Linked DNA regions of Canis lupus familiaris. The protein of the gene in region 7 purifies or fractionates together with the protein of the main gene of each other region. This does not show direct contact. Links are inferred from orthologs where the notes say so. Each region holds a gene or a part of one and is shown on either strand. Other genes may lie near its edges. The genes, in order: ZNF326, DDX17, SAFB, DDX39B, DDX5, SMARCA4 and FUS.

The links.
Region 1: the proteins of FUS (region 7) and ZNF326 purify together in Homo sapiens (affinity purification with mass spectrometry; 3 studies listed by BioGRID and IntAct, with this or other methods). This does not show direct contact. The link is inferred for Canis lupus familiaris from reciprocal best matches to the Homo sapiens genes FUS and ZNF326.
Region 2: the proteins of FUS (region 7) and DDX17 purify together in Homo sapiens (affinity purification with mass spectrometry; 5 studies listed by BioGRID and IntAct, with this or other methods). This does not show direct contact. The link is inferred for Canis lupus familiaris from reciprocal best matches to the Homo sapiens genes FUS and DDX17.
Region 3: the proteins of FUS (region 7) and SAFB purify together in Homo sapiens (affinity purification with mass spectrometry; 3 studies listed by BioGRID and IntAct, with this or other methods). This does not show direct contact. The link is inferred for Canis lupus familiaris from reciprocal best matches to the Homo sapiens genes FUS and SAFB.
Region 4: the proteins of FUS (region 7) and DDX39B purify together in Homo sapiens (affinity purification with mass spectrometry; 3 studies listed by BioGRID and IntAct, with this or other methods). This does not show direct contact. The link is inferred for Canis lupus familiaris from reciprocal best matches to the Homo sapiens genes FUS and DDX39B.
Region 5: the proteins of FUS (region 7) and DDX5 purify together in Homo sapiens (affinity purification with mass spectrometry; 5 studies listed by BioGRID and IntAct, with this or other methods). This does not show direct contact. The link is inferred for Canis lupus familiaris from reciprocal best matches to the Homo sapiens genes FUS and DDX5.
Region 6: the proteins of FUS (region 7) and SMARCA4 purify together in Homo sapiens (affinity purification with mass spectrometry; 3 studies listed by BioGRID, with this or other methods). This does not show direct contact. The link is inferred for Canis lupus familiaris from reciprocal best matches to the Homo sapiens genes FUS and SMARCA4.

Annotation. Positions count from the first base shown.
Region 1 is NC_049227.1:59,115,274-59,119,344, reverse strand, and holds the end of ZNF326 (DBIRD complex subunit ZNF326), read left to right. Parts: intron 1-2,494; coding exon 2,495-2,866; 3' UTR 2,867-3,676; downstream 3,677-4,071. UniProt on the Homo sapiens protein: Core component of the DBIRD complex, a multiprotein complex that acts at the interface between core mRNP particles and RNA polymerase II (RNAPII) and integrates transcript elongation with the regulation of alternative splicing: the DBIRD complex affects local transcript elongation rates and alternative splicing of a large set of exons embedded in (A + T)-rich DNA regions.
Region 2 is NC_049231.1:27,281,139-27,285,917, reverse strand, and holds the start of DDX17 (probable ATP-dependent RNA helicase DDX17), read right to left. Parts: upstream 3,204-4,779; coding exon 3,063-3,203; intron 2,725-3,062; coding exon 2,432-2,724; intron 1-2,431. UniProt on the Homo sapiens protein: As an RNA helicase, unwinds RNA and alters RNA structures through ATP binding and hydrolysis.
Region 3 is NC_049241.1:54,774,179-54,778,765, forward strand, and holds the start of SAFB (scaffold attachment factor B1), read right to left. Parts: upstream 3,044-4,587; 5' UTR 2,905-3,043; coding exon 2,716-2,904; intron 584-2,715; exon of another isoform or gene 542-583; intron 1-541. Other genes in the region: SAFB2 (scaffold attachment factor B2), read left to right, coding at 3,387-3,572. UniProt on the Homo sapiens protein: Binds to scaffold/matrix attachment region (S/MAR) DNA and forms a molecular assembly point to allow the formation of a 'transcriptosomal' complex (consisting of SR proteins and RNA polymerase II) coupling transcription and RNA processing.
Region 4 is NC_049233.1:1,178,649-1,183,303, forward strand, and holds the start of DDX39B (spliceosome RNA helicase DDX39B), read right to left. Parts: upstream 3,038-4,655; coding exon 2,827-3,037; intron 2,025-2,826; coding exon 1,897-2,024; intron 1,601-1,896; coding exon 1,508-1,600; intron 1-1,507. UniProt on the Homo sapiens protein: Involved in nuclear export of spliced and unspliced mRNA. Component of the TREX complex which is thought to couple mRNA transcription, processing and nuclear export, and specifically associates with spliced mRNA and not with unspliced pre-mRNA.
Region 5 is NC_049230.1:14,622,670-14,625,608, reverse strand, and holds the end of DDX5 (probable ATP-dependent RNA helicase DDX5), read right to left. Parts: intron 2,085-2,939; coding exon 1,860-2,084; intron 1,634-1,859; coding exon 1,230-1,633; 3' UTR 927-1,229; downstream 1-926. UniProt on the Homo sapiens protein: Involved in the alternative regulation of pre-mRNA splicing; its RNA helicase activity is necessary for increasing tau exon 10 inclusion and occurs in a RBM4-dependent manner. Binds to the tau pre-mRNA in the stem-loop region downstream of exon 10.
Region 6 is NC_049241.1:50,647,750-50,651,820, forward strand, and holds part of SMARCA4 (transcription activator BRG1), read right to left. Parts: intron 2,710-4,071; coding exon 2,460-2,709; intron 621-2,459; coding exon 488-620; intron 1-487. UniProt on the Homo sapiens protein: ATPase involved in transcriptional activation and repression of select genes by chromatin remodeling (alteration of DNA-nucleosome topology).
Region 7 is NC_049227.1:17,226,418-17,230,488, forward strand, and holds part of FUS (RNA-binding protein FUS), read right to left. Parts: intron 3,892-4,071; coding exon 3,747-3,891; intron 3,554-3,746; coding exon 3,363-3,553; intron 3,165-3,362; coding exon 2,957-3,164; intron 1,348-2,956; coding exon 1,313-1,347; intron 1-1,312. UniProt on the Homo sapiens protein: DNA/RNA-binding protein that plays a role in various cellular processes such as transcription regulation, RNA splicing, RNA transport, DNA repair and damage response. Binds to ssRNA containing the consensus sequence 5'-AGGUAA-3'.

The DNA.
Region 1 (4,071 bases), about 42 Mb from region 7:
ATCCCTTTACTTCCCATGATCTTACCACTTCTTTTGCTTTAGGGAGATTGAGACCATTAGATGTGAACTGTAAGTTTTCTCCTTTTTGCGTTAGATTTATGTACCTTAGTCTCACCTTTATTGTTATCTGTGAAGAAAGATAACCCCCTTTTTGCCCTTCCCCTATGTTCTTGTTTTATCAATTTTCTTTCTCCTTACTGGCATCTTACTTGTTCCCTGTTTATTTTATTCGTCTGCAACAGGCATGCTTATAATCATAAGGTCCCTAAACTAAAAACGACTTAACCTTTCATACTCTGCCCCTTCCCATCTTACCTTTCTCTTATCACTGTACTTTAAAAGGTAGTTTATCTTGCATTGCGCTCTCTAATTTCTCTATATTATCCATTCTTTAACCTGGTAGTTGTCAGTTGGAGATGGGTAATTAGAATTCCTTGTGAAGCTGAAATCAAACAAAAAGCTGCCTAGGCCCCCTTTAAGACCTTCTGAATTAAGAGTTTCCCAAACTTCTGATTAATATCTCGTGAAGTGCTTCCTAAGTATGCAGTTCAGCAGATCTCTCTCCTGGAAATTTTCATTCAGAAAGTCTGAAATTGATTCAGGAACTTGGGTTTTTAGCGAGAACTCTTAATTCTTGACTGAATTAGAGTCTCAGAGTGTGGAACGTGGACTTGTGGTTTTGGGGAGCTTAGAACAATAATGAAGATTTACTCTTGGGCAGTCATTGCTGTCCGATTTCATGTACATCTACTTTTGGATCTGCTCTAAGATAACTGGTGACTTAATTTTCAAATACGTTTTTTTAACATTTTGTTATTTACTATTTTAAACATACAAAAATAAAAGGGATAGTGTAATAAATCCCTCAAGTACCCTCATTCAACCTTAATAATTATCAACTCTAGTGACCTTTTTCAGTTCTTTTCTAGTATTACCTGTTTTATTTGACACTGTTAATCTGTCACTTATTCTTGTAACTTTGTTTTGCTGGATAATATTTTACTATCCTGAATTTCCTCCTGCACTTTTTTTTTCTCTCTAACTTTTGTCCCTGTGTATAGGCATTGAATTTTCAGTGGGTTTTCTCATCAGCGCTTTTATTCTTACTTCCTTGGCCCTTTTATTCTGCTTATTTCCCTGGCTTCAGTATTCACTCTGTGCAAACAATTCACAAATTTAAATGTCTTACTTTGAACTCTCTTGAATTGTGAATTTACAGCTGCCTCTTAGACATTTAGACATCTTAAATTCTAATTATATAAAGCATATATTTGCTTCTTCCACTTTCCCCATCTTAATTTACATATTCTGTTAATATGCTGCTACATCTTTTACACTTTCCTGAATTATTAGAGTAACTCCCTCACTAATATTTCTTCTCTTGCAACTTCAGTTCATCCTATGCTTCCTACCTGATGGATCTTGAAGTAGAGTACCAGTCTTTTTTTTTTTTTAATTATTTTTAAAAACATTTTATTTATTTATTAGAGAGACAGGTAGAGGGAGAGGCAGGCTCCACGCAGGGAGCCTGATGTAGGACTGGATCCCGGGTCTCCAGGATCCCGCCCTGGGCTGAAGGGAGTGCTAAACTGCTGAGCCACCAGGCTGCCCTAGAATACCAGTCTTATACTTTACTGTTTAATAAACTTCATCGCCTCTTCATTTCTTACTGTATTAATATAGCCTTCTGATATGGCCTATGAGACAATCCAGACACATAATTCAAGTATTTATAAAAATTAATAAAGTTGTATCTGTGAATGTTAGTAAATTACAGATTTTTAAAAAAGATTTTATTTATTTATTTGAGAGAGAGACCACAGGAGTAGGGGCAGAGCTGGAGAGGGATAGGCAGACTCCCTGCTGAGCAGGGAGCCCAGTGCAGGGCTCGATCCCAGGACCCTGAGATCATGACCTGAACTGAAGCCAGATGCTTAACCGACTGAGCCACTCAGGTGCCCATAGTGAATTAAATATTTATCTACTTTCCATAAAGAAAAAGTAAGGTGTATCCAATAGGTACCTGATTTTCATTCATTTGAATTTTTAAAAAGACCTGATTTTCATTTGAGTGTTTTATAGAGATCCTGCCACAGTAGGTAGTAGATTGAATCGTGGCATAATTTAGTAGAACATAAATCTTTGCTTTATTTACTTTGTTCCTACTAAAACTCACAAATTTACTTTTGTCATATGATTTTAGAAATTCAGTTAGGAAAATGTGGCCTTTGACTGTTCCAGTTTATGGAATGTATAGTAATGCTTTTAGTAATTTATATACCCATAGTGATATGAAAATAAGTACTGAATAGATATTTAGTGGATTTGTCATAAGTTAAAATAAAAAGTTTCAAACTGTATTTATTTTTAATGTCATAGCAAATAAGTTCACTGATAACAAAGATGAATGTCCTGCTTTTATTTATTTATTTATTTATTATTATTATTTTTTAATGTCCTGATTTTAAAAGCTGTTTTTCCTTATGCTTTTTAGGGTGAGAATCCTTTTGAAATTCAAGATCATTCTCAAGATCAACAAATAGAAGGAGATGAGGAAGAGGAAGAAAAAATTGATGAACCTATTGAAGAAGAGGAGGAGGAGGAGGAAGAAGAGGAGGAAGTGGGGGAAGTAGAGGAAGCAGAAGAAGTGGAGGAAGCAGAGGAAGTGGGAGAAGGAGGAGGAGAAGAAGGAGTGGGAGACACAGAGGAAGCAGGGGACATAGAGGGAGTGGGGGAAGGAGAGGCAGTGGGGGAAGGTGAGGCGGTGGGGGAAGGAGAGGCAGTGGGGGAAGGAGAGGCAGTGGGGGAAGGAGAAGCAAAGGAAGAGCCTGTTAACTTCCCTGTTGACCAACCTGAAGAAAATTAAATATACGGTGTTAGATTTAAAAGAAGCTTTAAATTTCTCTCCTAATATGGAAAAGGGTAAGAATTTTAATAGTTTAAAATATGAGAATTAACACCCATGTTGCATGCATTCCACACATTCAAATTTGTTTTATATAATTTCTAAATGTTTGCCATTTTGTTTAATAAAATGAAGGTAAGACTATTTTAGTTTAGTTTTTATAGCTACCAAACTTAGATTAGATAAATTGTTTGTATAATTTTTAAGCTTAATTTTTATTACTTTATTGGTGTTAAGGATAACAGATGTGTATTGTTAGTATATCTACTTAATCATTTGAACTTAAATGCTGCTGTTGGGAGTATATATTCAAGTGTGCATTAATGTTTTGAATACTTACCCTAGAAGAGATAAATTGGGCAAGTATTTTGTGCTCTGACTGTGTATTTTTTTATGGCATTGGACATTGAATAGTAATTTGCGTTAAGATACGCTTAAAGGCTTTTTGTGACCATGTTTCCCTTTGTAGCAATAAAACGATTTTTACAAAAACCTTCCCTGGATTAGCAATTTTAAATGAAACCATTAATCAATTAAATGAGTAAAATGAGGTTTTGCCTTAATGTAGGAATTTAGCTCACATAAATGAGAAGAGTTGAATTAAAAAAAATTACTTCAATCATTTTTTTAAAGTACTACTAAAATATTTTTTAGCATATTTCAAGTTGAGGTCAGTCTACAACTGACTTGTTTATACTTGTTTTAATTCCTTTTCTTTGTGCCTGTGTCAGATCTTGAAATCTTCTTGAAAATACATTTGGATACAAATGATTTTTATAGTTGTGTTAGTTCTTTTGTCGTGTCTGTTTTTAGCTGAAGAACCAAGAAGCAAACGATCTCTTTTCTAAAAAAGAAATATTTCTCTCTCGAATATTTTTTTTTTTTTTTAAACTTTTTGTAGTTTGTAGGCTTACATACACTGCAAAAGAAGATGAGATTGATAGATGGTCTATTTTCACATGACCATCTCTGTCACTGAAAAGTAGTGCTCTTGTTTCTTTGAATCTTTATTCTGGCTTCTTTTGAGAGGGGGACTTGCAGTGAAATAAGTTAGCTTCTCAAAATTTTGAGGTATTGAGTGGATGAATATATGGGAATATTATGTAATTTTAAAGCATTAAGTGCATGAACATGTAGGCATTTGTAGAATTTCACAGGTAATTTCT
Region 2 (4,779 bases), on a different chromosome or scaffold from region 7:
CCCTATGGCCTTGACTATTTATCTAAGACATACCATTCTACACTACACATATAATTTGAAACACCTAATTCTTTAAAAATATGCTGTCTTCCACCTTTATAATTAAAGCTTACCTCAAAACTCAAGATAGCCTTTTTTCCTACTCTTGTAGAATTTTTGAGCATTCTTGCCATCCTTCAAAGATGCACATAACCTAATCCCTAGCATACTATACTTACACTCATTAAGTTTAATTTTGCTTTGCAATAAACACAACTCTGAAGATTTATATTAATGTGCAATATCATGCTAGTTTAAATGTACAAGGCACATCACTTTTGGATTTTACATGTACACATATACACTAACCTCACTTTTATTCTCTTCAAAATAATCTATTTCGGCTCTGTAATTGTTAAGAATATAGTAACTCAAAATCATAAATGCAATTTCATGGTAAATGTAGAATTAGGACACAAACATCATGAAAAAGTGCCATTTTGTGTGAAAAGTTTAAAGCTTTAAAAAAAATGTCATCTGATAGTCAATATGGGGTAGAAATATGGATCAGTAATTTACTTTTTCTTCTTTTCAAATAATTTGTTAAAACATGTATATGGTGAAATTAAGTATTAAACCAAACACCTATGGTATGGTAAAGAAACAGAACATGATCAGTACCTTGGTAGCCCTCTGTGCCTATTTCAAGTTTACAAACCCACTACAACTACCATCTTGATTTTTGCTTTTTGGAGTCCGGTCATATACGTATCCTTTTACCACAACTTGCTTTTTCAATGTTTGCTGGTCATCCATTTTGATGCAAGTTTTTTTTTTTTTTCTTCCACGGTTGTGTTACATTCTACTGTAATGAATACCCACCCTTTATCTAGACAGAAGAGTGGTTCCCAATATTTTCATGAACAGTGCTGGTATGAACATTTTTTGTACATGAATGCTGGGGAACACGTACAATGATTTCTCTAGGCTTGTGTCTAGGGTACAAAGCTTAAGAAAGGAATTATTGGGTCATTTTCTACTAGGTAATGTCAAAAATTCTTTGTCTCAAGTGGTTGCACTGAAATTCACTTCTAAATTGAGCTATACTGTGAAACTCTAAGCAAACATTCCACTTCTAGCCCTCCAAATTTAACACTAAGATCAAATATTTTCTTTTCTAACAAGGTATAAACAAAATAATCCTTTTTATTCGGCAATTCAAGTGAATTGAGGTGCTTATGACTAGAGGTCTGGGACTTCTGTATTTGAACCGCAAAAGACAAAAATGTTTGGAGAAAATATCAACAGAACACCTATCACAAAGACACAATTTTACATAGATCTCAATTCCCGAAAACAATGCAAAGTAAAGGCAATTATTATGCCCATCTTCAGTTGAGAAAATAGGCTCACAAAAAGGTCCAGGATCTTGCCCAAGGTCACATATGTATATATATTAATAACTGGCGTTCCATTATTATTTATCCAGAGATAAGACCTTTATTACAAAAAGTTAACAGCACGAACATTCGCATCTCTTAGGCAACTTTTCCCTTTAACTTATGTTAAGATCTGAATCTCAGTATCTGGGAAGAACTTTAATCTTGTTAACTTTCAGCCGTGGCATTATCGCATCGAAACTTTCTAACCAGGCCGAGCAACTAATACTCCAGTCCAACTGGAGAAGAACAGAACACAGGGTGGGAGGGAACCCTACAGTAACCAAAAAAAAAACAAACAAAAAAACCCACAAAAAACCCTCCCTCCCCTCCTCAAATAAGATCATTTAGATGGCAAACAATTCCACTGCTTTACTGTCCAAAGTGCTTCCTTCGAATTATCTGAAATACCACTAAAGGGGATTTTAAGATACATTTAAAACTAGAAATCAGCCATTTGGCGTCTAGTTTCCAACTCGATTTCCAGTTCCTTTAGCAGTTATCTCTGGCGACAGATAAGATAAGGGAAGCCATTTGGCGTCAAGATTTTCCCAGGCCGAACTCGGAGACCTCCTCCTCTTCTCAGCAAGAACATCCGTGTTTTACAGATGAGCGCTGAGGCCTGGAGAGATCAAATGACTTGCCCAAATCGGCCGGGCCCGGCAGCCGGGCGGCGAGGCGAGGCCAGGCTGGGTCTGCGGCGCTCGGGCCGCCGCTCCGGCTCCCCGCCACGACTGCGGTCCGAAAGGAGGGGCTGGGGCGTCGCCAGGCCGCCCCCCCACGCCGGGTCTCCCGTGATCCCGGGGCGCAGGCCCACCCGCAGGCCCGCACACCAAACCGCTATTATGTCCCAGGTCGCCTCGCCTCCCGGAGTCGGGGGCGTCGCTCCCAGGCCTGCAGTCCGCTCCAGGTCTCCCGCTCGGCGGCAGGCTGCGGTCTCCTCAGGAAACAACCTTCCCCCTCCCCCCGGCCCACGCACACGCGAGGCCTTCCCTCTCCCCCTCCCCCCTTACCCTCCACGGTCACGATCCCGGTCCCGGTCCCCAAAGCCGCCTCCGCGCATGGTCCCAAACGGATAGAGATCTGGGAGCGGGGCACGGATGGCCGGGCTCGGGAGGGCCTGCGGCTCCGGTCTGGTGACGACCGATGGCGGCGGCGCCTCCGCTGTTGGGGCGGCGGCAGGCGCGGCGCTCTCTCGCTCCGACGCGCTGTCTCCCGTCGCAGACGCCACCGTCGCCGCCTCTCTCGTCGGAGACGGGAGCAAAACACAGAGAATCGGGGTTATAAAAACTGTGGGTAGGTTTGGCTACGCTCAAACCCGGCAGTGCCGCGGTTTAGGCGTCTCCTTCCTTCCCAGCGACTGCACAAAATGGCGGCCGGCGCTGAGACTGCTCCAGCTTAACGCTACGTACGTCGGAGACGATACGTAAACAGCGTCTTGGAATAGCCCGAGGGCTTGGCGGAGTACTAAGGGCATTCTTGGAAGCCATTTACGTCAGTTGCGCAGACCGGCACATGTTGCAGTCCGTAGAAGAAAAATAAAGTACGAAGCGGGCGTAGAGTGCTCGCGCCACCTGAACTAGAACGTGGGGTGGGGTGAGGGGAAGAGCCTCCGGTGCGACGTAACATTCTTTGCGTCGTTACCCGGCCCACTATTGCGAAGATGCGCAGTGTGCGTAACGCATTCTGTTTGGAGAATAGAAGATTTTGCCGGGTTCCGAACGCGGGACGGAACACGGGCCTCCTTGTGCAAGTTGGTTTGCAGACACAATAACCGTCCTCCATATTGCAGTCGTGAAGTGTCAGGGTTTCCCGGCGCCTTGGGTCCAGGCGGGTCTTCAGGGTTCCTGGATGGCGTCCCTGGGTCGCTCCGCCGGCCTGGGCCTGCCGTCACCGGCCGCGCGCCCCGGCGCCATTTTCTTTCGGTTGCCTCTCGCTGCGCTGTTGCCGGCAGCCATGATGGATGCTCCTTGTCGGTTCTCTCGGGAGGTGGTCGGCGGACGAGGTCCCAGTCAGGTTAAAGCACTCCCTGCTACGCTTGGTTCACACCGAAGTGCGTTTTCTGAGCAGAATATTCACGGTCGGGGGCTGAGCGCAGTTGGCTAACAAAGAACCAACACGCAGGTGGAGCCCCTGTTGAGGAAGACTCCCGGGTCCCATGGTCTCCGTTCGTCGGCGCTGCCTCGGGAGGTCCTGGCAGGCCCTCAGCGCCCTCCCCGGGCGAGGACGGTTAAAAGCCGTGGCCTTTCGACACAGAGAAGGTGAAGGCCTGAGCACGTGTTTTTAACCAGGCCGGAGCATGTTCCTCTCAGTTCCTTCCACGCTGGTTTCCAACTTCCTGCCTCCTCACTCAGACTGAGCTTGACGGTCTCACAAACCTGGCCAGACAGCGTCACAGAATTGTTGAGCTGCTAAGGCCCTCGCGAGCTGCTCATCTGATGTCTCTTTTGTTTATTTCTACAGATGGGGGAGGGGGGCGGGGGCGCGGGATTCGAGGTCCTTCATTGTGGGGGCTGTTGTCTCTTGGTTGTAAATGTTTCCCAAATTATGACAAAAGGAGCTCAAGGAAAGGAGCTTGGTGACAAGCCGTTCAGAGGTCCTTGGGGCCGTAGCGCAGATGGACAATTGGAACCACTGGACCTGTGCTGAACACTGCATCAGCCCAGCACTGTGCTAGGCACTGGGGCAGAGGGCACTGGACACGTGAGTTCCTGCCCTCATGGGCTTTATACCACAATGGGGGGGAATAAAACAATGAATCTTTATGTTATTTAAAGATTGCTAACTAAAAAATAAAGATTGCTGATTAAAATAGAAAAAGCGAGGAAAGGGGATAGTGTTTCTGTGTCTGTGGGGGAGGGGAGTGTATGGATGTCACGGTGTTACATGGGGTGACCTGGGGGAAGGCCTCTCTAATTCAGTGACATCTGAGCAGCGACCTAAAGGGAGGGAGTTAGCTTTGCTGGCAGAGGAAGGAACACATGCAAAGGCCGTGGCGGGCTGTAATGAGGAAAGACGGGAGAGATTTGAAGGATTTGTAGGCTGCTGTAAGGACTTTGTTTTTTCCTTTCTGTAAAATGGAAATCTCTATAAAGTTTTTAGAGTGACATAATAAAAGGGCCCCTATGACTACAGAATAGAGAATAAATTGAGAGTGAGTTGGGGCAAAAGCAGGTAGACTAATTAGGAAGCTAGTGCACTAGTTTAGGCAAGAGATGATGGGGTTCGGTGCAGACTAATAGCAAGGGGTAAAGGAGACATGGTCTAATTGAAAATGTAGCTAATGATTTGCTAATGGGTGGGATATGAAGGTAAGTCTCAAAGATAAACCTTGTAGGAGTGACAAAACAAGCTCCTGTGA
Region 3 (4,587 bases), on a different chromosome or scaffold from region 7:
ATGCTAACGTCACCACAATCTAGTTCATCCTATTCCTGGACCCAAGGGAATTCAAAAAGCACAGTCTTCCATTTCCTATGATTTCACCCAGCAATATGCTGCTTCGACCCTCTGTGACATCCTCTCTATCCCCATGCCTACTCTTGGCACTGTCTGGACAGAACGCTTACTCACTTGGCTGAGATGTACTGTGTGTGCCATGAGACTGGACATGACCCATACCACTTCATCAGATCACCCACATCTATGACTGACTCCAAAGGTCTTGTTCTTAACCACTAGGGGACCTACCTGAAAGGATAGGGAGTTATAACCACCTCTTGGGCAAGCCCCACCTCCCACCCAAGAGCTCATCATTCCCTTGAACAGTCTGCACCCACGCTCAGCACAGGGCGTAGCACCAAGGAGGTGAGCAGCAAATGTTTACTGAGCATGACATCAGTGATATCCTTGAATACTGGGCTTTGCTTTTAGGCTTTACTGATAACCCTTTTTCTTGTTACTGTACTATTCTATAAACACAAGTTCTGTTTAAACCCACTTCAGGGCAGCCCTGGTGGCCCAGCGGTTTAGCGCCGCCTTCGGCCCGGGGTGTAATCCTGGTGACCCGGGATCGAGTCCCACGTTGGGCTCCCTGCATGGAGCCTGCTTCTCCCTCTGCCTGTGTCTCTGCCTCTCTCTCTCTCTGTGTCTGTCATGAATAAATAAAATAAAATCTTAAAAATACACTTCAAACAGCATGTTTAATTTGTAGATAGTTTAAAAAATTTCAGATCCTCAGCAGTTTCTTAGTGTGGAAGTCTCAATTTGCAATGGGGCTTATGGGCTCCACATCTAATCTGTACCAGGAACAGAGAAAATTTCTCCCTTTTCTCCAAAGCCAGCATGAGGAAAAGGAATTGGGAGTTCTGCTCTGGAATCAAGGAAAGCACAACCAGAAAGTCCCTCCCATTCTTGCTGGCAAAAGAGGACTATGGAATACCCCTAGGAGAAGAGAGAACTGCCCCAGACAAGAGCTGTACCATTTTGCCCCTCAATAGGTCTTCTCTGGGTGCAGTGTTTACAGGATCATCCCTAGGGACGCTGTGGGCTATGAGTCATCTTTATAAAGCTTGGGAAACTACACTCTTTGTGTTCCTTCAGCCTTTTCCTCATTTGCCCTTCCTGGAAAAATGACCAGAAAAAGGACCCTAACTATATGCCAGAAGTAGAAAAAGAAAAAATGACCAACAATTCCAGATGCACTCAATAAGAGAGCAGATAAACGTACAGACCAATGATATTTACATACTACGACCATACCTCTGAGAAAATAAACAGAAAAAAGAAATGTAAAATGCCTCAGAAATGATAGGGAGGATCCTTGAAGTCACAGGCCCGTTTCCACTACCAATCTGACGGGAAGGTTCTCAATGCCATCCGAAAGAGATAAGGGTCCCAATTTGGCTTTGCTGACCGGGGGCCCTGGTGGCATCCTTTCTAGAACACCTTAGTTGATGAATTACCTGCCGCAACCCGAGTAGTAAAGGAAGTTGGTATCCACGGTGAAACAAACACAAGCTCAAGCCAGAAAAGCCCAACTGACTCTGAACTTAACCAACCCACCGTTCTGAGCCCCAGCTTTCTCCTTCAGGAAAATGGAAACAATCCCTACTTCCCCTTAACAGTCACCAGTAATAATTAATACCCTGCCTGGGTCCTCAGATCGGGAGCCAGGAGGGTGGAAGGAGTCGCAAATCACACTGCCTGCAGGGGTTGGGGGTGGTGAGCCTGAGATTGCACGGGAGAAGGCTCAAGAAGAGAAAAAAAAAAGGGGGGGGGGTCTGAACGACAGAAAAAGCAAAGAAGCCAACAAGGATATGAAAAAAAAAAAGGGGGGGGGGAAGCAGAGCGACCCGAACATTGAACTGCTCGTGCTTTTCACCCCCCCCCCCCCAGGATAGGGATGAGGGCCCCGGTTTTGCAGATAAACGGTGGCACAGAGGAGGGCGGCCAATGGGGACAGGGATCCTCTCCGTCCTGTGCCAGGCGGCACGCCAGGCCCGTTTCATGCAATCTCGCCTAATCCTATAGCACGGAAGCGCGCTCTCCCCTTTTCCCTGCAGAATACACGGGCCGGAAGGGCGCTAGGCGCCCTGGGAGCGCTGGGAGCCCGGGGCCAGGCCGCGGAGAGCCGCAGGGGCCGGAGCCCAGGCGCGGGGACGGGGACGGGACGGACCGCTCCGCCCGCCGGCGTCTGTTCCGTCCCCGCTCGCCATCGCAGACAGCACTTCACTTTCCGCGCCACTTCCCCGACCCACGGCTGCAGCATTCACATTTATAAAAAACAAAAAAACAAAAAACCACCTCCGAGCATGGGCCCGGCGCGTCGACCCTGCCGGGCCCGGAGGGAGCCCCGCGGCCGGCCCGGGTCCCAGTCCCGCCGCCCCGTCCGCACGGCCGTGTGACCTTGGCCGAGGCGCCCCCACCTCGCCCGGGAAGCCGGGGCGCGGGGGCTCCCCGTCATTTTCGGGGGCGGCCGAGAGCCAGGCCCTCCGCGGGCGCCCCCGCCCGCCAGGCCCCGCCGCCCGCGCCGGTTCGCGCCCGGACTCTCCTCCCTCCCCCGGAGCCCCGCCGCGCGGGGAGATCCCGCCGGGGCCTGGCAGGAGCCGGGGGAGCAGCCCGGAGCCCCCCCCCGTCCCGGCCGCGGCCGCCCCCGCAGGGCCCCCGCTCCACCTTCTTGAGCCGCTCCATCAAAACGCTCTTGTTGCCGCTCGAGTCCAGGTTCCGTTTCTTCAGCTCCGCCCGCAGATCGATCACCCGCAGGTCGCTGAGACGCCGCGTCCCGGTCTCCGACGAGGCAGAGCTCAGAGCCGCTGCGCCCGCCGCACCCGAATCGCCTAGGCCTGAGAGAGTCTCCGCCATTCCAGGGACCCTGGCTCCGCCGCCCACTTCACACAGAACCGGGCCGGTTTTATCTCGGCACCCAGCACAAAATGGCGCCGCCTGCGAGGGAACCGCTCCAGCCGCCCTGGCGCGCCTCTCTTCTGCGCAGGCGCACCCGGCGCGGAGCCGACGCTGCCGGTCGCGTGTGCACATGCGTGGTGAGCGCTCAAAGGGCTGTGCGCAGGCGCGTTGCATGTCGACAGCCTCCCGCCGCGCACGGCCGTCACGCATGCGTGCTGCAGTTACGGCGCTTGCGCATTGCGGCGGGGAACGTGCGGTTGGTCGACGCGCGAGGGCGCGTGCTGTTAAGAAAGCTGGCGTGTGCGGCACGCATGCGCGGCCGGAAAGCGGGGCGGGAGGAAGCGAGTGCGTTTTCCTCTTAGGCGGCGCCATTTTGTGCTCAGAGCCGCTACAGCCGCCGGCGGTGTGGGAAGTGGGTGGCGGGGGACGCGGAACCTGGGATGGCGGAGACTCTGGCAGGGTCCGGCGAGTCGGGTTCTGGCACAGCCGCTGTGGGATCGGGCGCCTCTGAGGCCGGGACGCGGCGGCTGAGCGACCTGCGGGTGATCGACCTGCGGGCGGAGCTGAAGAAGCGGAACCTGGACACGGGCGGCAACAAGAGCGTCTTGATGGAGCGGCTCAAGAAGGTGAGGCGGCCCGACGTCCCGGGGCGCAGCGGGGGGCCGGGGCACGCCCCCGCGCGGGCCTGTCACCGCGGCGCCCGGACGCGGGCGCCTCTCCTCCACCGTTCCCGCCCGGGACTGAGCCCGCGGGGCCCCGGGGGCCGGGCCGGCCGGGCTGTGTGACCTTGGCCCGTCACCGCCCCTCTCTGTGCCTCGCCTGTGCTCCCGCTCCCAGCTGGTCGCCTCGGCAGTGCTGGCAGCGCGTCCTTCGGGCCACCGGGCGGCCCCTCGGCTCCTTCCGGGCCCCAGCGCGGGGGGGACCCGGGTCCGTGACCTTGGGTAGGTGCCTTCTGCTCCCCGCGCCTCAGTTTGGAGAACAGAGGAGTGACGAGGCTTTGGGATCTTCCCGGAGAGGGAGTCGTGCTTGTTCCCCCTGCAGGAGCTCTGCTCCGGTCGTGCCCTCCGCTCCGCTGCTCTTCTCCTGCTCGGCGCCCTGAGGTCCTAGCGGGTCTCCCCAGGGTCCTTCCTGAAGGGTGCGCCTTCCCTCGCCTCCCACCCTGCACCGTCCTGCGTTGATGCCCCGCTTGGCCGCCCTCAGCCCCAGGTTGAGTGTGGAGGGATGGTCTTGCCCGACCCAGACGAGCTCCTTGCAGAGCTGGAGTTGACCCCGGAGTGCCCAGGCTGGCGGCAGTCCTGGGGAAGAGCCGCCTCCCTCCCTCCCCACCTCCGCCAGGCACACACCCCCTACCCCATTTGTCTAGTGGGTTTTCTCCCCAAGTGTCAGACCGAGCTGGTGGAACACCACTCAGCCCTCCTCCGTAGGTGGTAGACCCAGTGCCTTGCCCCTTCCTGTTCACCTTACTAAAGCGGAAGGTGGGGCAGTTTCTAGCTTAAGGGCCAGCTTGGACCTGGTCATTGACCCGCACCTTGGAGCCCCCACTCACATCCCTTTGTCTTCTGCGCCTAGGGCCCAGAGAGAACCAGGTCGTCCCGGGTTCATCCCGTGAACCCGTGCCTGTTGGGCTTGCCTCCCAGATAC
Region 4 (4,655 bases), on a different chromosome or scaffold from region 7:
TAGCTACAACATAAGGAGATATGACACTTAAATTATTGTTAAAGAATTAATCTTCAAATATAAAAAAAAATCGCAACCAATCTCTCATGAAAAGAAATAAAAAACACTCATAAGGTTATAAAACGAGAGAATAGTACCTAATACTTGGTGTCACAGAACCATAACGAAAAAAAAAAGGTTAACAAATGATTACCTTCTATGAAGTTCGATTAGAGGTAAGAGAACACAAATCTTTTCATCATGAACCTTCTATTACTTCAGCATATTTACTGCATGTTTACCCCCACATTGTTATTTATTACTACTTTGGTTCTTAAGACTACTTCCAATTTAGGGGTGCCCGGGTGGCATAGTCCGCTAAGTGTCAGCTCAGGTCCCAATCTTAGGGGTCCTGGGATATAGCCCCATGTGGGACTCCCTGCTTAGAGGGGGAGTCTGCTTCTCCCTCTCCCTAGACCTCCCTCCCCACCCGACCCCATCCCGTTCGTGTGTGTTTGCTCGCTTAAATAAAATCTTTTTTAAGAATTACTATTTTTAGTTTAGGGCTAGGACTCAACACATGAGTAACAGGAGAATATCACAACAATCCAAACAAAAGTACTGTTTTTCACCACATCCTAGTCAGGAAGGTAGGAGGTTATACACATCAGCGCTTCTCAAACTCCAATTACCTGAAGATTGTATTAAAATGCATGTTTAAAAAAAAATAAAAAAAAAAAAAAAAAAAAAAAAATAAAATGCATGTTTAAAAAATAAATTAAATAAATAAATAAATAAATAAATAAAATAAAATAAAATAAAATAAAATAAAATAAAATAAAATAAAATAAAATAAAACAAAACAAAATAAAATGCATGTTTATACTCAGTTAGGTCTGGGATGGTACCCATATAATCAGCATTTCCATCAGGCTTCCAAATGATGCTCTAACTAGAGGTCTGGGAACCATACTATGAAAATCAAGATCATATATGGAAAACCGCCCAAACCTCGTCTGTTGTGGCCCCTAAATATCTTTCAATTTTCTGCCATTTTAAAGAATCCTCAAAATTCACACACCACACACTTAAAGAGATATTTTGAAGCTTCCAGCTTTCTCTTGCACACATCCTAGAATTCTCAAACTGTCAACCAAAGCACAATGAAATCATTCAAAGTCAGTATAAAAAAGTAGTAAACCCAAGTGTAGTACTGTGGTAAACATCCTCCAGAACCCATTCCATGCAGTCTTCCGCTGCTAGCTATATTAACATGATGTGTTAAGAACAAACTAAAGCTTCTCCAAAATTGGAATATAGTGAACATATCAGAAATTGCAATGTGTATTCAAGTAAACCATAGAATGTAAATCTCCTGCACACCAAAGTTTGCAGAAACTGACCAGCTATTACAAGTAAATGACCTTCATATAAAGTTAATTAATCATCTGAGAAAATGAAGACTGCTGGTCTACAAGTCTTCAATGTCTCCAACTCCCCACACTCTCCCAGGTTTATCTTGGCTTACCTTGACATTGGGCATGTATTTAGAGAAGCGCTCATACTCCTTGCTGATCTGAAATGCCAACTCCCGGGTGTGACACATCACCAGCACAGACACCTTGGGTGGAGGGGGGAGTACATGGAGATAAACAGTATATACTTACTATCCCCTCTGGGGAACCAACTGTCACAAAAGCACATCTGACAGATCATAAATTACTTCAATTCTGAGATCTAAACCATTAACCCCATGATTACTATGTAATATCCCCCAGGGCCATCAGTCAAAGGTGACAGAGTTCATCTTAGCCACAAACACTCATGGCTCTAAAAGCATCACACAGCTGAGACAAAACACCCTTCTCCAATATTCCTAACCAAAAATGTCTTCCATAGCACTCTCCCCAAGTGTACCTGTCCAGTAACTGGCTCCAACTGTTGTAGTGTGGCCAGCACAAACACTGCTGTCTTTCCCATCCCTGACTTGGCCTGGCATAGGACATCCATTCCCAGAATGGCCTGAGGGATGCACTCATGCTGGACTAGAAGCAGGGGGAGAAAAAAGATAAATTAGACTTCAGTCTCCAGATAACTCCACAACCTTTTTTCACCATGTCAAACCCATTTCCCACCCCTTCTTAAATGGTTATCAATTTCCAGACCCCTTCTACCTCTCTGCTCCCTCAGATTTATCTCAAAACCAGATAGACCTTCCTAGTTCCTTCTAGCTTTAGCCTCCTCCAACTCCAGTGCCCTCCCCCCACCCCACAAACTGCAAACAACCCTCTTGCACCTACCAACAGTTCACCTTTGGTGCTTCTGACTCTGTCCCGACTTTCCTTGATCTGTAACAATCCAGGACATGTGACTGCCTGCCCCAAGCCATTTCTCCTACTTAGCTTCCCTTGCTTTAAGGCTACAAAACCTTGCAACTCTGAAGGGGTTGGTAGCTGATCCAGAAGCCACCCATTTTAGACCAGCTATGAAGATTTCCAGAGACCAGAGGTGGCCTGGCCCAACAGGGAGAGACTAAAGGTCCAACCAGTCCTCTCAGGAAATTCAAATTTAGAAACCTAAACAACAAAATTAATAACAAGTAGACAAGAATAAATGCTGGTCACAAGCACAAACCTCTAAGTTGCTTTTAGGTCACTAGCCTTTTCATGTTATCGTGAACAAAAAAACCAATCTATATAAATCTTTCCTACTGCTGAAATAGTTTTTGACCTTTATTTCCTAAAGTAGCCTAAATAAGAACGTTATTACATTAAGTGACTGTTTAACACACCTTTTTCTTGTATCCTTAGAGAGCCTAGTGAACACTATGACCTGCAGAAAATTTACCTTCTGATGGATGTTCAAAGCCACAGTCAACAATGGCCCGGAGCAACTCTGGCTTCAGCAGGAAGTCACGAAAGCCAGAGCTGTGGATGGAGACGTAGGAACCCTTGACATCCTTCTTGGCAGGGGCCTCAGACCCGTCTCCCCCAGCTGCTGTCTCTACTTCATCTTCTTCATAGTCCAAGAGTTCATTGTCCACATCATTTTCTGCCATAACTGGGCCGGCAGGGGGAGAAGGAGATGGGTCTCTGGATGGGTTCACGCAGAATAAGTAAAAACAGAGGAGGAGAGTGGGGGCTGGAGCAACAGTTAAAAAAAAAAAATACCCTAGTTTGTGATAGAAGAGCTAGGAAAAAAATAGATGGAGGACTTATTAGTCAGGAGCAGAGCCTTCGCCCCTCTTTTCCATCCCCACACTCTTCCCACTTTCCCTAAACTGTGACCCCTTTACCTGGGGATAAAACTAACAGGAACACAAAACATAAAAGCAACAGCAAACATAACACAGTGGTCCCAAGTGAGGTGGTTGAGACACAACTTTTCAACAAAATTAGGATCAGAATAGCATTAAGCAGGAAGTAGGAAGGGGACAACCAGCCCATGAATTCCTCATCTGTAAGCAACAGTAATGAAGAAAAACGGGTAACGAAAAGCAAAGTAGGACAACGGAGTGAAGAATGGAGATGACAAGGTAAGTGCTGAAAATCCTCACAGGACCTCTCTGCTTTCCTAGTAATCTCCCTAACAAAGCAGCCATCAGTTACTGGTGATAGATTAAGGTCATCCTAGCGCAAAGCGCTCACTCCTCGAAATAACATCATGTGGCTGCCATCCACCTCCCACTCCTCAGGAACCTCCCGGTGTCTAAGGGGTCCCCGTGTAACGTGGGGGAGGGGATACAGAAGACGTGGCTGGGACGGGAAAGTACTCGTCTCTTCTCCATAGAACGAGAGAGAGACAGCATTCGCTCCAGCTCTACCAGGAACTATAGCAAAGGGTCTTCTGTTACTCCTCAGATCAGACTCCTCTCCGATAACCGACATGACACCACGCATGAACAAGTGGAAAATGTTCCAAGTGATGGTTGGTGAGCTCACAGAAGGGTCCAACCAGGCTCAGTAGTCGGCTCCTCCTCCAGTTCCCACCTTGGGCCATTAAGAGGACCCACAGAAGAGAGGAAAAGTGAAAGGAGCCCCGCCCTCCGCAAATGCCCTGGACTAGAGGACATCTACGCCGCCTCTCACCATAGCTAGGGCCTCGGATAAACGAGAAGCCCAAGCGAAGAAGCAGTGAGCGAAGGGAACACAATGGCGCTGGGGCCACCATCTTGGATTGGGCCCCCTAGCATCGCTACCCCCCCCTCCAGAAACTCTTAAGAGCTCTGAAAAGGGATGCAAGCAATAGAAATAATGACCCAACTAGGCCCCAAGGACCAGACTATAGTCTGTGGAAGGGGTATCAGGAGTCCAGGGAACAGGATGGCCGCAAAGAAACGCAGATGGAGGCGGATGATACCGAAGGCCAAAGCTTACCTGAGCAAGGCGAGCGCATATGGCGGCGGCAGCAGCGACGAAAGAGGGACTCTGCCTTCACTTCCGGTTTTCGCCTTCTCTCTCCCAGGCGCCTCGCCTTCCCGCCTGCCAGCACGCAGGCGCAGGAGACCGGAAGAAGACCCTTTCAGATTCGAGAGTTCCGCGCGCTCCGGGGTTGCCTTTAGAAAACGCCTGTGTGGATTTTTTTTTTTTTAAAGGCACTTCTAACTCCTTCGCTACTGCAAGTAACAAAAGCCTTGAAGGAAACTAGCATCGTCTCCCACTGTTACCTCTTTTCTC
Region 5 (2,939 bases), on a different chromosome or scaffold from region 7:
TTTAATAATCAGAATTTAAATGAAGTCTCATAAAGACCTCTCCTCTCCTGACAAAAAGGAACATATATACCAGACTCTCTGGGAAGACATTCAGACCTATTTCTAGTCATTATTGAAATGAAGTGTTAGAAAGATCGGTGAGCCAAAGTTAAATCTAAAATAATCCATCATCCCCTGACCTTTCTAGCAATAAAAACCCATGTTGACCTAAGACGACTTGTATAAGTCACTGTGCTTTTGGTTATGTTGCTTCCTCTTGGTTCATCATTCATTTACTTTCACGGGGTTTTGTTTGAATATGAATAGACCCTCCAGTTTTTAAACTCCTCTAGAGTTCCCTGAATTATGGTAAAGACATTCATGATTCCCAGTGTCAACTACAGTTAAATGTCCCAAGAGCCTGAAGACTACAATCTGTATAAATTTAAAGTCTTAGCTTTGTTCACCATTTTGCTAATTCACATTAGAGCCAAGAGCAAGACTATAAACTGTTCTGAAAAATCAAGTTATTTGGAGCTTTTCAAATATAAAATTTTGCGAAGAAATAAAGTCATCCACGTTGTTCTCACACTAAGCAGTTTGAGGGTGGGGCTATACAGTTGATTATGTCCTATTTTAATCTCACTTCCCCATTCTGCTAATAAATAGGCTATTAAATGACTCACCTGATGAGGTACTGGCAGAAAGCCTTAATACAACTTAGCCTACAATTGTAAATTTACTTAATCTCATTTAATTCTTGCAATATAAATAGATCATTTTTAAGAAGGGCCTTCTGTTCTCCCCACTTCCCAAACCTAAATCATAGAAAGGAGCAGTTAATTTAGTTTTTATGGTTAAAAAAAAAAAACAAAATCAAACCAGACCATCTAAGCAAAGTTTTACATGACATTATAGATGTAAAATAAAGTACAATTTCCACTTAATTCAGTCTTCAAATATTTTTTATTGGAAGGCCATGCGTTGCCTTCATTTATTGTATTTCAAATCACTGTACATTTACTTTTGTGAAAACACTGCCTGCATTTTCTAGTACAAAAAAAACCTAAAAATTGTTTCAGGAATGTAGAGAAATATCCAACTTAAATAGCGAAAAAGTGCACCATAATTACTGCTGCACTGCAGTCATTTCTGCATTTCCCATGTTTCTTAAATAACTATCTTGTCTGATAACACACAATATAAAGAGCAATTATGAAAAACAGACATTTACATATACTTCTAAAGTCTTATTGAGAATATCCTGTTGGCATTGGATAACCAATCATAGGCGCAGCTGCAGTAGCAGGATATGCATATGCCTGTTGGTTCATACCATTGTGCATATTGGGAACATTACTTCCATATTGCTGAGTGCTATCGTAACCATTCTGGTAAGTCCCTGTTGGATTACCAGTCCTAAAACTGGTCTGTATACCAGCAGACACAAAATTACTTCCAAAGCTCCCATTGGTGTAATTTGCAGCACTGTAAACACCATTCTGAGTTTTTGCCCCAAAATCTCTCTTAAGCAGACTAGAGTAACCTCTGTCATAATTTTCCCTGTCTCTAAAGGTATTAAAGCCACCCCTTTTGCCCGCAGAGTATCTGTCCCGACGGTCATCCTTCATGCCTCCTCTACCCCTGGAACGACCTGTCAAAAAAAAAAAAAAAAAAAAAAAGAATTGCAAGCTGATTATTTCCACAGCACAAATCATTACTAGTACAGAAAAAATTAGAAAGAAGCTCTATTCAAAGTTTAAAGTGTTTTCTCAGTTTCATATGAAGATTTTACTCACCTGCCAATCCCATTTAATGGATTTGCAGACAATCATGTGACCCCAAAATCACCAACATTTCTTAATGAAGGTTAGTCTTACCTGAACCTCTGTCTTCGACCAACTGAAGCAACTTTGGATTAATTGCTTGATTAGCTTCACGAAGCACAGAGATAAGGTCGCTCACTTGCTTTATGTTATTAGGTGTAAAGAAAGTGTATGCTGTGCCTGTTTTGGTACTGCGAGCAGTTCTTCCAATTCGATGAATATAATCCTCTGAGGAGTTAGGGTAGTCATAATTGATGACAAATTTCACATCTTCCACATCTGTAAGGTGTTGCAGTGTGGCAAAATAGCAATGTACGGAGTTTTGCACACCACAACAGCCAGACCAAAAATAAAAAGTTAGACAATTGTATTCCCAAGAAGGTACGGGCTGCAAAAAATACAGTTAAAATGGTTATCCATTCCCTGTAGGAATACCATTGAGGTTGGAAGGAAAAAAAAAAAAAAGCACACACCATCTACCTGTCTCATTGCCCACCCAATGACAGAGCACCTAACAAAAGGACGTGTATTCTCTAACATATTCCCAAACCAGCAAGTCCCCTTACAGATCATCAAGTGACATCTGAATGCTTCTGCGCAGTAGGGCCACTTAAAGGTTCACAGCAACCTCTTCATGTGCTCATTTTGAGGACCTTTAAACAAAAATGTACATGGTCCTTTGCATTACACACTCATCAGAAGTTCAAAATTCTGGCCACACTGCTTGTCTTGCCAAGACCTTACAACCGCAGCTGCAAGAAAAACATACCTGTCCCCCAAAAGTTGTTTTTATGCACTGTGTCTCGTCTAGGCAAGCGCTTCCAAGAAGCCAGGATTCACTTGAGAATGTGTCTCTCTCTGGCAGGTCTCGACATGACGACTACTGTGTAGGTGAGGGAGGAACTTTCAAAGCACTGCTTTCTTTTCCCACTGACTAAGTGTGAGAAGTTGCTCCTGCTCTAGATCTCATGTGCCAGTACTCACCAATTTGTAAAAGGCTTAGTACCTTTTAAAGCTGCTCTCTCCATTTCAAACTTGAACAAAAATTTCATTGAACATTGAAGTTTGGAAATATTTCTTCAACATTTCAGCAAACTCACTGAAACTCAAAGACCCACAGATCACAGTAAACAG
Region 6 (4,071 bases), on a different chromosome or scaffold from region 7:
CAATGACAGGAAGTCATCTACTCCATCACTTTTCAGACTGCCCTGTTCAGAAAAACCACCTGGAAGGCCTGTTAAATTTGAGCTCCCTCTGCCCAGATCCTGTCTCAGTATTCTGAAGTGGGAATCTGTATTTCTAGTACATTCCTGGGTGGCATGGGAGCTGCTGGCCCAAGGAGCCCACCCAGCTCAGCCCCTGTCTAAACTCCAGTGCTGCATATATGGATGCATGCCACCAGTGTTCCCTCTCCTGAGGCTGCTATAAGACAAGTAGGCCCAAAACAGGCACTGGCCAAGTCCAAGCTCAACAGCCGTCTGTGGCAGTCTCCCACAGGGCTAAACTGTCCTGGGTCTACCCTGAATCCACCTGTCTACCCTGAATCCACCTGTGGGAGACCAGGAGACCCAATTAGGAAAATGATGTCAGGACATCCAGGGTTGAGGGGAGGAGCTTAACAAACACAAGGAGAGAAGAATAATGAAACAGTACCTTGGGAGTGCTGGTCCATGGGGCTTGGCGGGGGCCCCATCCCTGCATGGGCCCCTGACCGCATCCCCATTCCCTTCATCTGGTTATAGCGGGGGTCATCCGACATGCCCTTCTCATGCATGGACTCCATTGGCTGTAAGAGGGGTCAATGACAAGGCAAGATCAACAAGAGGGAACAGGAAGAGGCAGCATGCAAAGTGCTACCGAAGAGTTCACTGCCACTGAAAATGTCCGCCCAAGGTCGCCCTGGTATGTACTGAATCACCAATGTGACCAACCAGTTTAGGTCCAAGCCATGGTCCTGACACCTGCTGGTCTCAAGCAGATGCATGAAGCAATGTCACCTAGGGACTAGTGGCCTGGAAGTGAAGGGAGAGATGGATCAGGGAACCATGAGACAGTTTCAGATGTCCAAAATACCATGAGGAAAAGATGTGAGCTCCTGCATGAGGAGCTGTTTTGGTTGGGACACCAAGCTCTCCACTAATCGTTACAAAGAGACCTGGTGACCACAAATCTTTGGATCAGAAACCCTCTTCCTTGGGAGACTATATATCAAAGGGACAGACAGAAATTTCTGCCTAGAAGTATGATTGCAATACGTTAGGTGTCCTCACTGATCTGCGATCGGCCTCCAGCCTACTAGTTGGGAGGAAAGCTGTTTGTGGTGTGGTTCTGTCCCTCCTAAGAGGCACATCAGACCTCTGTAGATTGATGACACCTATTTTCTCTCCTAAGGCTCATTCCTAAGGGGACATTTTCTAAGACCCTTCCAGGCCACTCTGCTAGGCCCTGATTGGCACAAATATCCTGGTCTCCAGGAACTCAGTCTAAAGGGTGGTCCAGCAAAGTCAACTACAGCTCAGTGTGTACCATAAGAGAAGGAAGAGAGGATGAAGAGAGGGTGCTTGGTGGCGACCACAGGAGCAGCTTCATATGCAGGAAAAGGGTGGGGCCCTCAGGAAGCTGCAATCTCTGCAGGCGAGGGGTGTCTCACTACCATCTGGGTCCTAACACCAAGCAGGACAAATAGCAGCTGTCTTGCAGACCTGTGGAGTATGTGCAAATGACCCCAAGAGGAAGAAACGAGGTGGACAGAGAGGGAAGGAAGCTGTGCTGGAGAAGCCAGACTAAATGGGGGGGGGGGGGGTCAAGTCACCAACAGCTTCCCAAGAAGGAAGTGACAAGAAAGATACTATGGACAGAAATGTGCAGGAGATGGAGAGGCAAAAAGGGCCAGAGGGATGAGATGACTCACCACTGACCATCAGATGGTAAGTGACCATCTCTCCGGGACCCTAGGGACCCTACTTCCTCATCACCTACCTCTGATGGACAGGGGGAGATTTAAGTGGAATAGGGTACAAACACATGGACAGCCCCAGAAGGGAGGCTGGAGGGGTCAGCAGAGACCCCTCACCTCTGGGCCGCACAATGTGCATTTTCTATTTTCACACAAAGGGTGTCTTGTGGTCTCTGAGGCTTGAACATGTTACCTTTTCCTTTAGATGCTGATACACCTAAGACATTTCTTTGATTTCCCCAACTACCACCTAAGAACATAGTGAGAAAGGAAAACTATTTGTGTTGAGGTTTTTCTCTCACCTCACTGGCAAAAGCACCCCTGATCAGTTCAAGAAGTCATTCAAACAGTGAGTGGCACCCAAGTGCAGGATTGAGTGCGGATATAGAGCACCCATGGCCTGCTCTGTAAGTTACATGGGTGAGCAGAGCAGCCCAATGCAGGAAACCATGTGACATAAGGAACTTTTAGGGATTTGGACATGTTTATTTATTAACAAGAGGCAACTTTGGAGCAGTGTTACCACATCTCCCATTTGGAATGAAGGGCATGGGAGACACAAAGTAGGGAGGCTGCTGGCTCACAGCAGAAGCCAGGATGTACTGTTTACCCTCCCATCTCTGATCACGTTGACCCAGACCATCAGGGTGGTGGGCCCAGGCTCCCTACCTTGTGCATCTGGTGCATGTTGTCCTGAGGGTACCCTCCAGGCCCCTGGGTCGGGATGGGGTGTCCTGCTGAGGGAGGTCCCGGACTGGGCCCCATCATGCTGTGGGCAGAGCCAGGTGAGGGACCTGGACTAGGGCCCAACATGGCTCCAGGGGAGGGTCCCGGGCCCGGGGAAGGGCCTGGCCGAGGAGTTCCGCCCAGGGGTGGGTCTGGAGTGGACATCTTCACAGGAGCTGCAGACAGTGGTCTCCTGTTAGAAAGAAGTCCTGGTCAGTTTGGGGATCACGGCCATCACTAGGGCACCAGAGCTGGCAAGGGAGGACCACATGTACAGTATTGTGAGAAGCACCCATCTGACAGAGCTGGCACCTTTGACGTGCAACCCCCACCCCCACCCCCACCCAGACCTTCCATCGCCATTCTTCTCACAGAAGAGAATACATCAGGCATACAAAATCATATCAAAGGTCCCCGAGGAAGGGATGGGACTCAGGAGGTGGAAGTCCACGGCCACTGCCCCACTTGGGGTCTCACTTCCCTTGCTATTATTCTGATCACAACAAAAAGAATGAACATCTCAGGGTAGTACAGATACATCCTTCACACCTAGTACTTGCCATCTTCCTATTTACAAGGAAGAGCAAGACTAACACTCAAAGCCTCTGCCGGCAACCGTGTCCAAGTGGGCCTTCATAAATTCAACAAAAACAAATATTCACGGCAAGTGATGCTGGTTTTTTACTTAAGGCAGTGAGACCAAGTTTCTTTTAAAATAAATGAAAGTTGGGGATCCCTGGGTGGCGCAGCGGTTTGGCGCCTGCCTTTGGCCCAGGGCGCGATCCTGGAGACCCGGGATCGAATCCCACATCGGGCTCCCGGTGCATGGAGCCTGCTTCTCCCTCTGCCTGTGTCTCTGCCTCTCTCTCTCACTGTGTGCCTATCATAAATAAAAAAATAAATAAATAAATAAAAATAAAATAAAATAAATGAAAGTTTAAAACATAGATTCATTTAAAGTATTATACAAACAATGGCATTCTGATATCTCAAACAGTTCTACAGCGATATTCACGTGTCTAAAGTTAAATGAATGTTGCCAAAAACTAAAAATTGATACCCAGAGCATCTACAAGATCCAAAAATATACTTAAAAAAAAAAAAAATCTAATGATGATGGTAAATTTTGCTTGCTACCACCGGGCCATGAGCTGGTAAATTTTATACATGCTTTCTATAATAAGGCTTCAATGTTCAGGTAACTCTCAACCTACTGTGTAGTTATATATAGCCTGAAATAAATTCTCTTCAATCTAATAACTTCTTTCATGACGGTGGCATAATAAATACATTTGCAGGGCTGAAATGCAGAAAATGCAAAAAGAACACAGAAACTTAAAATCACCCAGCATCCCACGAGACACAGAGGTGAAATGCTTGCTGCCCTGCAAAGAGCAATAAGCAATCCTGCTCTCCTAACCCCAGCTAGCAGGGCAGGGAAAGGTGCAGAGTAGGAAGAAAGGGTTGGGGGTTGCCTCAGTGGGTTAAGTATCTGCCTTCAGCTCAGGTCACGATCCCAGAGCGCTGGGATCCCTGCTTAGTGGGGAGCCTACTT
Region 7 (4,071 bases):
CCTACCCAGAGAAACTCCTAGACAGGGCTGGGGAAGACACAGGCCCCTTAAGATCTGTATGTAACTTGAGTCCCCACAGGGACAACTCCACAGTCCAGGAAATTCTGCCTCCCCCAGCTCAGGCTGGGAAATGTCCTCAGCACAGATTGGGGGGCCAGCAGGGAGACCCATTGCAGTTAACAAAACCAACTCATAGCTTGGCCCTATTCTCTCACCCCAGAGAGAAAGGGGCTCACCACCAGCAATGTGATATGCATCCATCCAGTTTCTCCAAACTTTTAACACCAAAGACACTTATTTATCCCTTGTGGAACAAGTTTTAATTTCATCTTTACAAACCATTCTTAAAACCATGTTGTTTCCCCAACCACATGAAAATAAAAAAACATACATAATAACTATTGTATTTTTAAAGCATGTCCCAGGGAACAGACCAGAAATCTTATTTCCATAATGCAGCCTCTATTTTTTTTCCAGAGACCATCTTTGACCAAAGTTTATCTGAATTCACCATATATAAATATTGTACCCACACTCAATGACACCTAAATCATGAACCCAAGCCTTTGGCTTTAAATGTTGAGACAAATCAAGAAACCTTTTGTTAGTTAACCAAACCAGAAAAGTTCCAGCTTACTGGGAGACTTCTCAAATTTGCCATTTTTCCATGAATTCAGTTTGTGCTGTTAAGACCTGGTTATTTCCCATGAGCCACACATGCTCCCAACCTTTCTTTGTAGTTGTCCACACCTTCCTTCCCAGAGCTAGTCTCTATTTGCCCATCTGAGTTAAGTATGTATATGTAGGATTGCATTGACACCATTCAGTATTTAATATATAGATACATATATACCAACTTCACCATCCCTAGGGCAGGGCAATAGTTCACATCCCCCTTCCAGAATTAAAACATTTGGAGGTTGTTAAATACACACACACTAGCCTTGGACACAATGATCAAAAGGATCCTAAAGCCAAGTTGGCACCACGTGTTCCAGCACACTCTCCAGTTTCTCAAAATGGTGGTCACTAAGTGCCAGGTGTGGCAACACTCCTGTCAGAGGCCTACTAAACACCTCTTAGTAACCTGGGTCAAACCAATTTGGCACCAGACGACTGCCGAGTCTTACTCCCCTGCCTCCAGGTTAGCACACAACTGGCAGCAGGTGGCATTCTCCCCCACCCCTTTCTGGAGGTGGTTCTGGACACTTCAAAACCTTTTGACACTTAAAACACGCTAAAACATCTGCAAATGAACAATCAGACAAAGCATTGCTGGGAGTTGGGAATTTTGGAAACTCTGTTCACTTACCACCAAATTTATTGAAGCCACCACGGTCACTTCCGCTGGAGAAGACAAGTTAGAAGAAAGGACATGAAGCTTCCAACGGCTACAAAAGGGCGTTTTTTTGATTTTGTTTAACATTCCCCAAACATGGGTAGGTGTTTTGGGAAAAAGATACAAGTGGCTACTAAAATACATTTCCCTTCCTGACCACCCCTTGTCTGACCTTTGAGCATGTCACACACACGTGTGCAATTTCTCACACAGTTTTTAAGGATTTTGCTTTTTAAAAGGTTATAGATCTATTTCCTCTGGAAAAAAAAATGACCCATTTTCCTTGGTCGTTCTTCCGATGTAGCAGATGTTTTTTCCTCTTGTCGTGAGTGGTGGACAACCCAGTAGTTGGTTTAAAAACCCTACCCCCAATTCACCCAGAAGACATTTCACACCAGGCTGGGGTAGCCCTGAACACATTTTTGTGGTTTTTGCTTTGAAAGCAGCAAGCAGACCCAACCCCATTCCATAAAAAGTCAAAACCAAAGGCAATTTCCCCTTAAAGCAAGACAAACTTAGCTAAGCCCTATCCTAACTACTGAGCTGTTTTTGATCTCCCCCCACCCCCGGGGTCACCCCTTCTACACTGCGAGAAGAGCGGAGTATTTTGCAATGTCACCTTTCATACCTGTGGCACATAAAATGCAGAGCAAGTTAACAGTCACATAACAGTTGTTTTTCTTTTAAAGTTTTGCATTAAACACACGCACACAACAGAGTTTTCCTTATTTTCGTATGGTTTTTGAGACTGCCCCCACCCACCTCTGAATACTTACCATATACAAACTCTCATTTAAAAAACCTACTTTTTCCCAAAAAGGAGTAACACACTGACATTCCTCCCCTTTCAAAGGGAGACAGAGGAGGGTCCTTCAAATCATGTTTACCAACAGATTTGACCAATGCTTTAACATCAAATCTAAGGTTTTACTTCAATCAACTACAGCGGGAAGGGGAAGAAAGAGAAGGTCCAGCTGGACAAGTAACCAGGGGAGGGGGACAGTGGAGCAAAGAGATGGGACACCACTGTCAAGCATATTTTGTCCAAAAGGCCTGCACACTTCAGACAGCCCCATAAACCAAGTCACACACAAAATCATTACTGCCAGTCAAATTACTGCAAATCAAGCTCATGGATTCAAATGACTACAATATACGGGAAGAGTAGCCAATTCCTGGAAGCTGAAGTCATGAGGTTAAGCATTAGCAACTCCTTTAGAGGACACATGGGAATACATGTAAACAAGTTTCCCTATTACCAGGAGTGGGATCATCGGTTTCCCTTGCAGCGAAAGAAGACTTTACTTCCATGTTTTTTGCCTAGGATATCAATGACTCCAATCCACATACACCCATGTATATTTTCCCTTCTTCTTTGGAAATACAAGTGTCAGTACTCAAATCTCTATTCAGAGGTGTGGGTGGGAGTTCAGGCTCCCCAATTCTCATAAAAAAATGGGAATGTACAAAGAAACCATCAATACCCCCAACTCTAAGCCCTCACAAACCCCTAGAAAAAAAACTAACCATGCACTAAGGAACTGAGCTTCAAGGGAGATTCATGCAACCCTTCACACTCCCCACTGATGTTACGCCCTAGCTCACAAGAACACCTACCCCATGCCGCCTCTGCCTCCACGGCCACCTCCACGACCTCTGGGTTCATAGCCACCACTGCTGCGGTTGTAACCACCGCCACCGCCCCGGCCGCGGCCCCCACGGTCTTGCTGGCCTCCCCCGTAGCCACCGCCACCACCACTCTGGTCCTGATTGCCATAACCGCCGCCGCCACCACTCATGGAGGACTGATCTTGGCCATAGTTACCTGTCAGAAAACAAAGGATTCTTTAAAGAAAAAACACACGTGGCATTAAACAGTACCAAAAGATTAAGAATGATGAAAATAAAGACAGCTAAGAAACAAGAAAAAAAAATTTTAAGAATTTTTTAGAGTTAAGGGGCCAAGCAGTATATATAAATCTCTACAAAAAGTAGGAATGATGCAAAGCTCAAGACCCCTCACCTCCACCACCCCCTCCGCCACCACCTCCACTGCTACTGTTGTACTGGTTCTGCTGTCCATAGCCTTGAGGGGGATTATAGGAGCTTTGCTGCTGTCCATAGCCTTGCTGCTGTCCACTATAGCCAGACTGTTGGCCATAGCCCCCACTCTGGGGCTGCCCGTAGCCGCTGCTCTGAGAACCACTACCATAACTAAGGAAAGAGAAACAAACAGAATCAGAATGCCAGCACGTCCAAGACTTCATCTTTGGCGCATTCCATTCCCTACCCCACTCCATTACAAAGACTCCTCCCTCTCCCCCCACCTAATTGCTCCTGTTGATCACATCATTCCTTATCAATTCACCTCTAACCATATTCCAAACCTCCCCCTCAAACTCCTTACCTTCCCGAGGTGCTGCTAGGAGCTGGCTGCTGGCCATAGCCAGGATAAGAGGACTGTTGCCCATAAGATGACTGAGAACCCTGGCTACTGCCATAGCCACCAGTTGAGCCATATCCCTGGGGAGTTGACTGAGTGCCATAGCCTGCTACAAGCAAAAGAAATCATAAAGACTCTGAGAAAAAAGGCAGGAAACAAGTTAAAGAAAACTTTATGTACTACTACTGTTACCCACACTTGAAAAGTCAGCCTCTTGGAAGCTGCTTGGAAATCTTTTAAATTAAAGGTCAAAGATGCCCTTCCCCTCCCACCCTAAGGCTAATATTCT